Linked DNA regions of Neurospora crassa OR74A. The protein of the gene in region 3 interacts with the protein of the main gene of each other region in a pairwise test. Links are inferred from orthologs where the notes say so. Each region holds a gene or a part of one and is shown on either strand. Other genes may lie near its edges. The genes, in order: NCU04611, NCU06389 and NCU06929.

What was found.
Region 1: the proteins of NCU06929 (region 3) and NCU04611 interact in binary tests that used the Saccharomyces cerevisiae proteins (3 or more experiments, as listed by UniProt). The link is inferred for Neurospora crassa OR74A from reciprocal best matches to the Saccharomyces cerevisiae genes SPT5 and SPT6.
Region 2: the proteins of NCU06929 (region 3) and NCU06389 interact in binary tests that used the Saccharomyces cerevisiae proteins (3 or more experiments, as listed by UniProt). The link is inferred for Neurospora crassa OR74A from reciprocal best matches to the Saccharomyces cerevisiae genes SPT5 and PSY2.

Annotation. Positions count from the first base shown.
Region 1 is NC_026505.1:1,505,096-1,509,070, forward strand, and holds the start of NCU04611 (transcription elongation factor spt-6), read left to right. Parts: upstream 1-1,172; 5' UTR 1,173-1,563; coding exon 1,564-1,731; intron 1,732-1,804; coding exon 1,805-1,987; intron 1,988-2,042; coding exon 2,043-3,975. UniProt on the Saccharomyces cerevisiae protein: Histone H3-H4 chaperone that plays a role in maintenance of chromatin structure during RNA polymerase II transcription elongation thereby repressing transcription initiation from cryptic promoters.
Region 2 is NC_026504.1:2,675,688-2,679,787, forward strand, and holds the start of NCU06389 (DUF625 domain-containing protein), read right to left. Parts: upstream 2,805-4,100; 5' UTR 2,525-2,804; exon of another isoform or gene 2,460-2,524; 5' UTR 1,779-2,459; coding exon 1,544-1,778; intron 1,483-1,543; coding exon 1,404-1,482; intron 1,349-1,403; coding exon 1-1,348.
Region 3 is NC_026507.1:793,361-797,552, reverse strand, and holds the start of NCU06929 (transcription elongation factor spt-5), read right to left. Parts: upstream 2,808-4,192; 5' UTR 2,503-2,807; coding exon 2,137-2,502; intron 1,967-2,136; coding exon 1-1,966. Other genes in the region: NCU06928 (hypothetical protein), read right to left, coding at 3,287-4,192. UniProt on the Saccharomyces cerevisiae protein: The SPT4-SPT5 complex mediates both activation and inhibition of transcription elongation, and plays a role in pre-mRNA processing.

The DNA.
Region 1 (3,975 bases), on a different chromosome or scaffold from region 3:
TGGGGACGGCACACCGTAGTGGGGGGGAAATACAGTGCGGACTCTGAGAGAGGTCCGGACGAAGCTATTCCCAGGTACTTAGCCATACGTACTTATAAATAGACGGTGCCATCTTGCGCACAGCCTATCTCCAGTGGACCCTGTGAAGCTCTTGTAGTGTAGCTCGCTTACAGGCAAGAGATGAAGAAACTCTCTGGCACGCATGTGTCCCTGTTACCAGCAAAACAAAAGAAAAGTATCAACATGCCAATGACAGGACCATCTTCAAGTCTAACCGCAGCACAGCAAGCACAGTGCACGTCATGTTCGTACAACCCCAGAGCTCTCAAGAAGCGCGCCATGAGATGTCGAATCAAGCAAAATACCGCTGTGATTGGGCATGACCAGAACCAACAGTCGGCTGTGATCCGGATGATGCCAGGGACTTGTTCGAGATATGCGTGCCAAATGGTGGGTCTAAGCGCGGATGGCTGGGGATCATGACCCCCCGAAGAACATCTGAAACCAAAGATGCTCGGTTCAACTCAAGTGGTGAGTTCCATGATGCGCGGCATGAACGTCTCTCAGATATAGTTTAGCCATGCGGATCCCAGAGTTCAAGCATGTCGGCGACTGAACTTTGCATAAACATGCCCAATGTGCTCAACATCATAGTTAGAGCTTCCGTTGCTAGCTCCCCTCGAGGGCATGGATAGTGTCGGTTGGTGTCGGTTGGTGTCTGTACACGGCACCATATGCTCCGATGTGCACTTTACAATATTGTTTTTGTTTTTTGTTGTTCTCCTGACAGATGAACTCCAGATTGTTTGGCTGTCAAGATGTATGGTCGTGACGGTCCGAGACTGGCCTAACGAAATCTGTGAACTGTTTTCGCACGAACCCAAAGGGCGTTGTGACATCCTCGTGAGCAAAATGACAAGCACAGTAAAAGATGCCATCACAAAACATAAAGAATTCGGGACAACTGGAAGTTGGTGATGGGGCTGCTCGCCGTTCAATGTTGACGAAATGCACGGGCCAAGCCATGTGTTCTTTCTCTGTACATAACAGTTCTATGGCCTGGGCCTTGGCGAGGCTGAACGCGTTATGTGGCGCGTGGCGTAACAAGTTCAGTTGGAGGGTATGTACAGGGGCGGGTGGCCGGGCCTTGCTTGGCCCGCCGTCTTGCTCCAAAAATTCGGGTCTGGTCGACACTACACAATTGACGTGCGTGCACCGACCGACGTGACCTGGCGGCAGGCGAACCACCTAGGAGCGAGCAGCACGTACACGGCGGCAGCAGCAGCAAGCGGGCAGCCTTTCGGCCAGAAAGGTTCAGGGCAGTCGCGGTCAACTCAGACCTCCTTCAATTGCTAATCACTTCTTTTTCACCAAACGAGCTCGCTCTTCACCCAACTTCCTCCTGTATTCTTCTTTTCTTTTTTTCATCAGCACCCTAAGAGCGACTGTTGCTCCCATCGAAACGCGCTTCATTTCCAATTCCGACCCTCTTAGGCGGTCGAGACTTGTCCGAAAAGACACCTATTTACACACCAGTTTGCGCCACCCCAACCAGCCGTAACCATGAGCAACAGCATGCGCGACTTGATTGACGGCGAGGCCGAGCTCGATGACGAGGAGGATGATGAGTCCTTTGATGAGGAGGCCGGCGACCGCCCGAGAAGAAGACCCAACATTGATGATTCCAGCGAAGAGGAGGAGGACGACGAAGATGAGGAAGAGGCTAGAAAGGTATGCCGCCTCTGGCCCGATGCTGCAACATAGCTCCGGTTGGGAACAACGCTGACACACCCACCGCTCACAGATTCGCGAAGGTTTCATCGTAGACGAAGATGAAGAGGACGAGGCCGAGGATTCGGATGCGCGCGAACGCCGTAGGAGAAAGAAGCGCCGTCGTGAGCGCGAAGAGGAGGAGCAGCTCGACGAAGAAGATCTCGACCTGATTGGTGAAGCGATTCCTGAGTGGGAGCGGAAGCCACAACCCCAGGTATGTGCTCTACGGTTTCCGGTGATATCATCCAGTCGGCTCACCTTTTTCCAAGCAAACCAAGTTCAAGCGCCTGAAACGGGGTCATAGGGATGACCACCGCCCCACTGAACGTCGCGGTCTTGCCGAGATCTTTTCCGATGAGGACGAAGAGCACGATGATCGAGGCTACGGCCGTCCCAGCGGCCGGGCTCAAGCGGACGAGTTCGACGACTTCATCGAAGATGATTACCCCGAGGATGACGAAGAACGTCGACACCGCGAAGAAGATGAGGAGGTTGCTCGTCCCAAGGATAGGGGCCTCAACATCGACACAACCGGCCTCGACAAGGATGCTCTCGAGGACATGGATGCCATTTTCGGTAATGGTGAAGATTACGAATGGGCGTTGCAGCTGGAGGAAGAGCAGGAGCACGCGGAGCGAACAAAGGAAGATATCGAGTTGCAGGATGTCTTCGAACCTTCGCAGCTCAAGGAGAAGCTTCTTACCGACGAGGATAACAGGATTCGGTTCAACGACGAGCCTGAGCGCTTCCAGCTCGATCGCAAGGCTTTCAAGAATCTCCAGATGACGTCCGATCAGTTCAAGGAGGAGGCTCGGTGGATCAGCAACCTGATGCTACCCAGCAAAAATCTTTCCAGTGAGCTTCACGGTCCGTTCAACAAGGCCGTGGGCAAGGTCCTCGAATTCTTCGTTATCGACGGCGTCGAAGTTCCCTACGTTTTCCAGCACCGAAGAGACTACCTCATCCACGCCAAGAAGATGCGCAACCCGAATCGCCGTGACGATCCTGACGCTCCCGAATATACTGTTGACGCCGAGAAGCTCCTTACCCAAGATGACCTGTGGAAGGTCCTGGATCTCGACATCAGGTTCCGGTCTTTCCTGGAGAAGCGTAACGCGCTAGAACAAACTTACGACAAGCTCAAGGAAAAGACCCGGGACGATATCCTTGAAGAGATGATACGCCAAGCGCAGTCCATTGAGGAGCTCCAGGATCTCCAAGATTACCTAAACTTCCAGTATTCGGCGGAGCTGAAGGACCTTGCTGCCAACGATAATAGCGCACAGCGTGAGATTAAGAGGGCCGGTGGCAGGACAGCCCAGTTTGAACGCATCCGGCGATCCAATGCCTACAAGTTTGTCCAGGCACTCGGAATAACGCCTGATCGTCTTGCCAAGAACATTCTGCGCGAAAGCAGCAAGGTGACCTCAGAGGACGATTCAAGGCTACCAGATGACCTGGCCGACACATTGGTAGACGCCGATTTCCCGACCGGCGAGTTGGTCATCAATGCTGCTCGCCAGATGCTTGCTGAAGAAATGTTTGCCAGTCCTCGGATGCGCAAACACTTCAGGAAAAATTTCTACGGCATGGGCATTGTGAGCTGCCGTCGTACTGACAAGGGTCTACGCAAGATTGACGAAGCAAATCCTTACTACGAGGTCAAGTATCTCAAAAACATGTCTATCGCCGATCTTGCCGTTCGCCCGGAGCTCTTCCTCAAGATGATGAAGGCAGAGGAAGAAGGGCTCATCGAAATTAAAGTTTCGCTGGAGAACGACCGCGAATTTAGGCAACAACTTTTTAGTGATTTCGCCTCGGAGAACTTTAGCGAGCTTGCCGACAAGTGGAACGCGGAACGTCAAAAGGTGATCGATTTGGCCTTTGACAAGCTGGTAAAGGTTATTGTCAAGGGTGTGAAAGACTCCTTGCGGACGGCGTGCCAGGATGAGCTGCTTAAAACCTGCCGTGAGCTTTACTTCAAGAGACTGGATCAAGCCCCTTATAAGCCCAAAGGTATGGTTATTGGCACGACTCCCCGCGTGCTCACGCTATCGAATGGCATGGGCGATCCCAACCGTGAACCTGTATCCTGGGTCTCGATGGATGAGGATGGAAGGATTCTCGAACACGGTACCTTTACCAACCTAGCTCGCGATGAGAGTCAACGCGAGGCCTTGGCTGAGCTAGTCAGGCGTCGGC
Region 2 (4,100 bases), on a different chromosome or scaffold from region 3:
TTGCTTGCATGAAAGCAACTGAACGAAGCGCTGTGCCAGACTGTGGGTGATGAGGAAGTACTTGGCCCTGTGTTGGTGTTGTCGGATGAAGGAGCAGAGTATGTCGTTCAGGTAGCCGAAGATGTACTCCTGCATGGGCTGGAACTTCAACTCCGTCTGCCCTTCGAGATCGAGCAGTGGCTTAAAAAGCCTGGCGGCCGAGTTTTCATAGAAGTGCTGTATCAGAAGTTCTTGCTGCGGGTCGATGCTCTGAAGCTGTCTCAATCGCTGCTGGTTGGGAGGATACTCTCTTGCATCTGGCGGCATGATCGGCGCCACATCGAGCAAAATCCGAAGGGCATCCTGCATTTGCGACTTGACACCGAGATCAACCTCAACCAGAAGAAGGTCGATGATCACATCAGTGAGAGGCTTCTGACGTTCCTGCAGCTGTCGGTAAATCGTATGCCGAACCATCTGGGGATCGTGATCAATCATGGCCACGAGGATATCAGTAGCATGAACTCGTACAGTGACGTCGTGATCACACAAGCCGAAGTTAATGACACGAACAAGACCATGACCAAGGAAATTGGTATACAGATTTTGCCTTGCTGGTGGTTGAAGATTCTTGGCGATGGCACAGCAATCGTGGAGGAAAGTAACGGCCTGTTTTTTGCGTAGGTGTTGCGCAGAGGGGTCGGCGAATATCGAGAAGAGGTCGTTTAGGAACCCACCGTTAGTCTGGATATGGTTGATGATATCAACCTGGTTGAAGAAGATGAGCGAGTTGAGGACGGAGAAGGTCGGGTCATCTAGGATTCGGGCCAGAACCACATCCTTGAGATACAGCAAGCGGAAGGTCTGTTGAATCTTGCGCCGGATTGTATCATCCTCAATCTTGACCACCTCCTTGAAACGGGTCTGGTTGCTCAACCACTGCCGGTGGTTCGCCTTGTGCTTCGGGAAGTCGGGATCGTACTCGAGGGCACCCACCACACCGAGGACACATTCATCAGAAACAGCCTTTTCAATGATTGCAGTGTCGTTTAGGAGGAGCATCGTCTTGGTCATGTTGCAAAGACGAAATAGGTCGTCGAGGCTCTCGAGATCTTCCGCCATCTCGACTAGGTTGCCTAATGAGGGTATGATGTCGTGCTCCATGATGGACTTGACCAGCATCTCGCGGCCATTAGCGGTATTGGACATCTGGCGCATGATATTCTCGAGGTCGGGTAGGTTCGCCAGATCGGCCGGGGGGAGCGTGAAAGTCGAGTTTGACATATCCATAGTAAGATCCTCGGAGAGACTGTCGTCGGCGCCGCCCAGGACATTGTGGAAGGTTTGTTGGACGCCGTCAATAAATTTCCTGACATGATGATTAACGGGCGCATACATTGACGAATCGCGGAGATGGGACCAACCATATCATGGCGCAACCCTCGGCTTCCTGGAAGCTCAAGGCCATATCCACATTGTTCTCGGTCCATACAATCAGGGTATCTGTAAAGACAGTTAGCAGTGCGATGGTGGGGGTCGACGGTAATGGTTCAGGGCAACGCGCCTTGTTGTTTTTGAAAGCCATCGTCTTTAACGATCTTGGTCTCGAGTAGAAGCCGGTCGGGGTGGTCTTCGGATTCGACGATAACGCGGGGCTCCTTTGGCTGGTTCTCCTGGACGGGGACGAACTGGGCGGTGCAGAAGCCGGTACCGCGATCGAACCAGTCATTGTTACGGAGTTCGTAGACCTTGACGCGCTTCTTGTCCGTTGTGTGATGAGGCACCGGGTGTGCCATCATCAAGGAATCGGCGTCCCCCTCCGGGACGGTCTGATCGTGGTCGAGCAGGTCGTCGGACAGATCGATATGCTGGTGCTCAAGAGGTAATTCGGCCCCGGCGTGACTGATAACCGCAAGTGCCGCCACTTTTTATCGAAGCGATGCGCGCCGGATTCTGCGCGCGATGGGGGAGGGCTGAGGGTCGCACGGGAGCAATCGCGCTAGATAAGGCCGAGGTCTGATGAAACGGGTTGACAGTGTGGAGAAGTCGAAGTTCTGGACTTTCGGGGGGAAATTGGGATACGGGCGTCTGGCGCAAGCGGCGTCGGGGGGGTGTGACGTCGCAAGAAAATTGGGATAATATAGACCAATATTAATTTAGAAAATGAATCGTCCCGCCTTTGGGTTCTGCTGCTCTCACGCCAGGCTGTTACGGGTACGTAGAGGTAGGACGTTCTGAACTTCTGATAACCCGACGGGCAGCAAGTCGTCGAGCCTTGTGCGGTCGGCTGAAGAAAAGGTCGAGATAGCCTGTATCTGTATCCGCCGGGGGCCAAGGGTAATACTGTAGAGAGATGTACCAGGAGTAGCAAAGTCGAAGGTAGCGAGCAATAGCGCGATGGCTAGGAGCTGAGGGAGTAAAAAAAGAAACCACAAAAAAGCACTTGAGAAAAAAAAAAAAAAAAAAACTCGAGATGGCGACTTGGCGATGGAATCTTGTCAGCCGATCTGGGAAGCGCGAAAGGCGATAACGAGGAAAAGCGCACCTGTCAAGTCGAGATTGAATTGAATGAGACCAGGTAGAGACTACTACTAAGCGCGCCGCAGGGTCAGATTGAAGAAAGTGGCTTAGGCGTTGCCGCAAGATATGATGAAATCGCGGGTCAATCGCGCTGGGAAATCCCGTTCCTGCTGCAGGCCCAAGGTTGCGACGACCGGCTTCCAGGTTCAGGATGTCTCGTGAAGCCTCTGATGGGGGAAGGGCAGGGCACGGAGCTACGGGGGCAATGGGGCGACGGGGTCTTGTTGACGCTTGACGAAAACCAGTGGGTGACCCGCGGGGAGAGACGGGGACCGAACGGGAGGGAGCCGCGAACAGATTCGCTGAATGGATGGTTGAAAGTGGAAACTGCCCGTCAAGCGTGCAAAGTGGGTGGAAGCACCGCCTGTCGAAGTGCTGTGAGGTGACTTCGTGCCCGACGTTCAGTGTTACACATGTCGGTACGTAGGTACCTCTAGGTACTGTGATGCCATTTGTTGCTTGGCTCGAGCTTTAGCTACCCTGCCGCGCGGATCTTGGCGTGCATCTCTGTTAACAATCCAGATCAAGCTTAGCGCGCCGGAACCCCTAGGCTGCCAGGTGCCAGCAGACAAGGGCAAATGGAAGGTCAGGCCGCCCGTGGAAGTCCAAGTCAGATGCCAGAATGAAAAGATACTCTATCTCTATACTGACTGTTTTCACGATGGAGGGTTTTCCGTCTGGCTTGCTGATAATGAACTAAACCAATGCTGACGTCAATGCCGCGAAAGAGATGAAAGCGCGTTCTACCAATGTTAAGAGAAAGTGGACGCGCCGCGGAACGTCTTATTAAGCATAGGTACTTCGCTGCTTTGACGCACCCAGTGCACACCATGACACGCGCACCTCGGCTGCTCTTCCGAAAGCTTCGTTCGCAAAAGTTGGGATTTTAGGGTTTAAACTTCTACCCTCCCAGCTCGTTCCCCCAGTGCCCGAATCCAGGCCATGTCACATTTATATCGATGAGATCCACCCCCTCCGCCCTATCTCTGGGGCGGTCAAAAGCACGTCTCCCGGCTGCCACAAATATTTTGCATACTGTACACTAGGTCAAAGGATCTCGAGCTCCACTTCCCCCGTTCCCCATTCCGGCTATGACCTTCACGTCTCCATTCCGAGACATTGAAGCACTGGAGTCACAGACTGACAATTGGAATGGTCGGATGGAAGAAGTAGGATCCTGGAAGTACGCCAGCGACAATCCTCCAGCCAAATACCTTACCTCAAAGCGAAGTCGCTGGTGGAGGACAATTTTAAAGTGGAGACAGCATGCCTTATGATCCTATCTCCATTTGAATGCGTTCCCAGGGCACGTCCACCAATTACCTGTAATTACCTTTTCTCGTACCTTTGTCTCGCTGGACGCCTTCTTGTCGGCAACATGGCCTCCCAGGGGCACTCCGCTGTCAGAGGCGTTCCCCTCAGGTATCCCCGCTCCCACGCCACCCCGCTCCCGCTCTCTCCCGCGGTGCCGTTCTATTCTTTCGGGGTCTTCCAGGTTATCGGGGTCTCACACCCGACTCGAGGTAATTTATCGGGACCCA
Region 3 (4,192 bases):
GCAAGCCCTTGTAACCACCGCGTCTAATAACCACGGTTTGGTTAATGGCCCGATCAGGTCCGAAGGTTCGCGGAGCTGGCATTTGCTTGCCGCTAGCAGTGGGGTTCCGCTTCAGGGCTGGGTTCATCGCACTGAGATCTGGGCCCGCAGTAGCAGTGTTGCGACCACCCTTGGCCGCGACCGTGGTGACGCTGTTAGCCCGAGTGACGAAAACACCAGCATTCTCGTTGGTGGTCGTGGTGTGAAGGAAAATGTAAGAGCGATGAATGTGAATGATCTTGCCCTGGCGTTGCTGGCCACCATATTCACGGACCACGTCGTCCAGCCTGATTTCGGAGCCGTTGCGGTCAGCAGCCACAGCGAACTTCCTCTTGGGGAGCTTGTTGGTGATTTGCGACGGCTGGACCTGTTTGGTATCGCCGTTCTGGTCTAGCACCACGACTGACTCGCGATCAACCTTAACGATGCAGCCGACAGTCGTGGCATCCAACTGCACAAGATCCAAGAGGGAGTACTGTCCAAGAGAGCCTTGGCCACCAATATCAGATGCCTCACGGAGGTCTTTGCTGAACACGGTGATCTCCGTGTTGGTCTGGTCTGTGAGGAGGGTGACTCTGTCGTCCACGATCTTGACAACCATACCAACTTCGTCACGGAACCGGCTGCCACCAATGACCTTGACGTGGTCACCAATCCTGAACCTCTTGCGCAGACCCTTGTTGGGGACGTCGATGGTCCGGCCAGCAAGATCACCCTCGGTAACCTGCAATGTGACGATGTCGCCTTGAACATTGGTGGCCTTGCCGATGACACCCTGCTGCTCGCCCTCATACACCTCGATAATATCACCAGGGACGTACGCAACACTCTTAGCGCTATCCTTGAGAGTAGCAGCAAGAGCCTTAAGATCGAGGTTCTCTGTACCGTCCTCGGCTCCACTGGCGAACTTGGTAACCTCCTCCAACGTAGGGTTGACATTCTTGACCTCGAGCTGCTGGATCTTGATGTCTTTCACCTGGAAACCGTTCTCGAAATCATCGCCGTTGTAGTTCCAGCTGTTGGTCTGCGGGTTCCCCTGGAGGTAACGGGGGTGTCTCTTGCGCGCCTCGGCTTCACTGAACAGACGCTGGGGAGGACGAGGGCCGGGCACACCGGGGCGCTTGCGCTTGCCATCGGCCTGGAAGACGGGGTCATCCCTGACACCGTAGTCGAGTCTGGGAATGAAACGGACTCTGGCCTCGAGGCCGTTTTCTGTAACGTCGATAACCTGAGCAAGATCACCGGCGTGCTTGGCCGGCTTCTTGAGACGAACCCAAGCGCCGGGCTCCAGGTTAGGCGTCTTGATGACACGCAGGAGGTCGGGCATGTCCTTGATCTCGACGAGGTGCATGTTGCTCCTGGGATAAACGTTGAGAATGCCATCGAGAGCCACGAGAATATCGTTCTGTCTTTGAGCCTCAACGTAGATGTATCCCTTCATGACCGAGTTGATACCACCACGTTCGAAAGCAGCCGTGATGGGGACCTCGTTCTTGGTGCCCATTCGCTCTTCGATACGACGCATAATCGAGAAGATGACCTCACGCTCCTTTCCTTCTTTACACCTGACGGCCCAAATGCTGGGGTCCTCGACACTGGGAAGAAGCAAGCGACGGGGCACAATGGCCATGTCTCCGTAACCTCTAGCCGGGGCGCGCTTGCCGTAGCGCTCACGCAGGATCTCTGCCTGTTTCTCAGCGTCGAGGCTGGCCTCCATCTCTCGGCGGCGGTCGAGCTCGCGGTGTCTTCTGTCATCGTTAAGGCGGCCGCTGTCGGCAATATCGTCAGGGTGGGCATTGTCGATGAAGTCCTCTATCTCTTCACCGTCGCCGACTTCGTCTTCTCCCTCGTCTTCGTCGTCAACTTCGGCTTCGATATCGAAGAAGGCAGCTCTACGGTCCTTGTTGCGACGCTTGCGACGATTGCCCTGCGGACAAAAGACAGCGGGTTAGCTAGGTCCCCGATGTGGCGACACGGGTAGGTTTGGCGGGTCATCTGCACCGGGACTTGTCTTTTGTTGTTTTTTTCTGGCAAGTGTGGATGGGATGGTGCTGCAGAATTGAAGTGTGGAGGGACATTATTGGGATCCGGACTTACACCATGAACATCATCCTCGTCTTCCTCATCTTCCTCTTCCTCTTCGTCCTCCTCTTCCTCCTCATCTATCTCCTCGTTCTCCTCTTCATCTTGCTCTTCATCCTCGTCATCGTCGTGGTGATCTCGACGCGATCGCTTGGCCGGGCGCGCGTCTTCCTCTTCGTCATGTTCCTCCTCTTCCTCTTCTTCGTCTGGTACCGGGCTACTAGCCTGCCTCACGGTCTTACCAGCGGGGCGGTGGTTGTGCGTGGTCTCTTCGTCGTTGTCGTTGTTCTCCTCGTCCGACATGTCGGCGGGGGCGGGGTTGAAGTTGTCATCGTCGGACTCGTCGTCGGCGCCGGCGAACTGCCAGCTGTTTGACGCCATTCTGAATAATTTATCTGAAAGAGAGCGGCGAGCGACAGGGGTGTCGTACAGTCGTACTACCGGCGGTCGCGCGTTGTGTCGAGGTGTGGGCGAGAGATGGAAAAGGAGAGAGGAAGGGAGAGATGGCCGTAGGTCGCGAGATGTGGGATTATATTTGTAGGTGAGAAAAGGAAGATTGGCTGGCCTCGAGCCGATGGATGATGTGGTGGGAAATGGACCGACTTTTGAGGCGTCGACTCGCTGTGAGTGTTCAGTTGCAGACTTGCAGCAGCAGCACCGCGGGTCGTGAGGCGGAAAGAGAGCTGCACGGCCCACAACTGGACAGTGAGTGGGTGGACTTGGAAGCACGGACGGTCACACCTCCACCCCCGGTTGGTTGAGGACACTGGACGGCAGGGGAGTGTGCTGCTGCTGCTGCCAAGCACTGGAATAAGCCGCTAGGCTATTCGCGGCCAAGGTCAGGTCTCCGGCCGGCAAGAGGTTCCTTTTGTTCAGGTTACATTCGACCAGGACCTTGCAGTCCAGGACGGGTACCTAGGTAGGTAGAGATACCTCATCGTCTATTCATTTGCGCACGTGGCTGAAGTACAAGTACTTTCAGCTGATAGAGTATGTAGAAGAGAGCGCTGCACCGTGATAACCTCCCTTTCGTTTGCCCTTGTCAACACCATTACTAGGCAACCTTTCATACCTAGTAAACACGGCCAAGTAAAAGTCAACTCCTGGCAGAGACAGACAGACAAAACTATCTACATGATACAGCGCTCCTCCAGGAAAAAAACAATCACCTGACCACCTCCTTATCCTTCCGGGTGACCGTCTGAATGAAGCTCTGATACTGCTCATCTTCCGCGGTCTCCATCATGATTCTAGCATTCCGCCTCGGTGGAAGCTCCCTAATCTCCGGCTTGGGTATCTGCTTGTTTGCCGTCGTCCACAACACTCCCCCCGTCCTTGCCGCCTTTGGCGCTTTCAGTTCCGCCGCCGCCGCTTCCTCCGCTCTTGATGGAGCATCAATCATCACCACCTCCTTGTCCTTGTCTTTCTCCTTCGCGTGTTGTCCCTTTCCAGACCCGGCCGCGCCGGCCCCGTCCTGCGCCTTATCTCCTTCTCCTTCGCCGTTCTCTGCCGTCTCGGTGGGTCTGGGCAGCCTCATGGCCAGTAGAACGTATTCGCTTCGTTGCATGGTATCCATGATATCGTCCATGTACCTCTTGACCTCTTCCTCCGGCGCCACTACTCTTGCCAAATTATCCAGCACATGTTTGCCACTGGGAGCCGCCGTAAACAACCTTATAGTTATGGGCTGGTAGTAATCAAGCTCCGGGTCCGCCATCGGATATACTGCTTTGCTTCCCCTCCTGATGATAAGGAATGACGCCACCACCTGCTGTTGCTGCTGTTGTTGTTGTTGCTGTCCTTGGGTACTGCTAGCGCTGCTACTGGGAATAGTCTGATAATCCAGAATGCTGAACTTCGGAAAGAGGTACCGATCACCGTTTCCTCCCGCAAACTCGAATACGATGGCCGAATAATCAGGTTGTTTGGGCGGCGGCGGGGGGCCCTTTGAACGAAGCGCCTGTTGGGCCGATGACTTGTCGGCTTTCTCTCCTTTCTCCTTTGTGGCCTTTTCGGCCTTCTCCGTCGTCTTCTTCTCCTCAGCAGCGTTGGCCTGTGAGGTCGTTCCTGT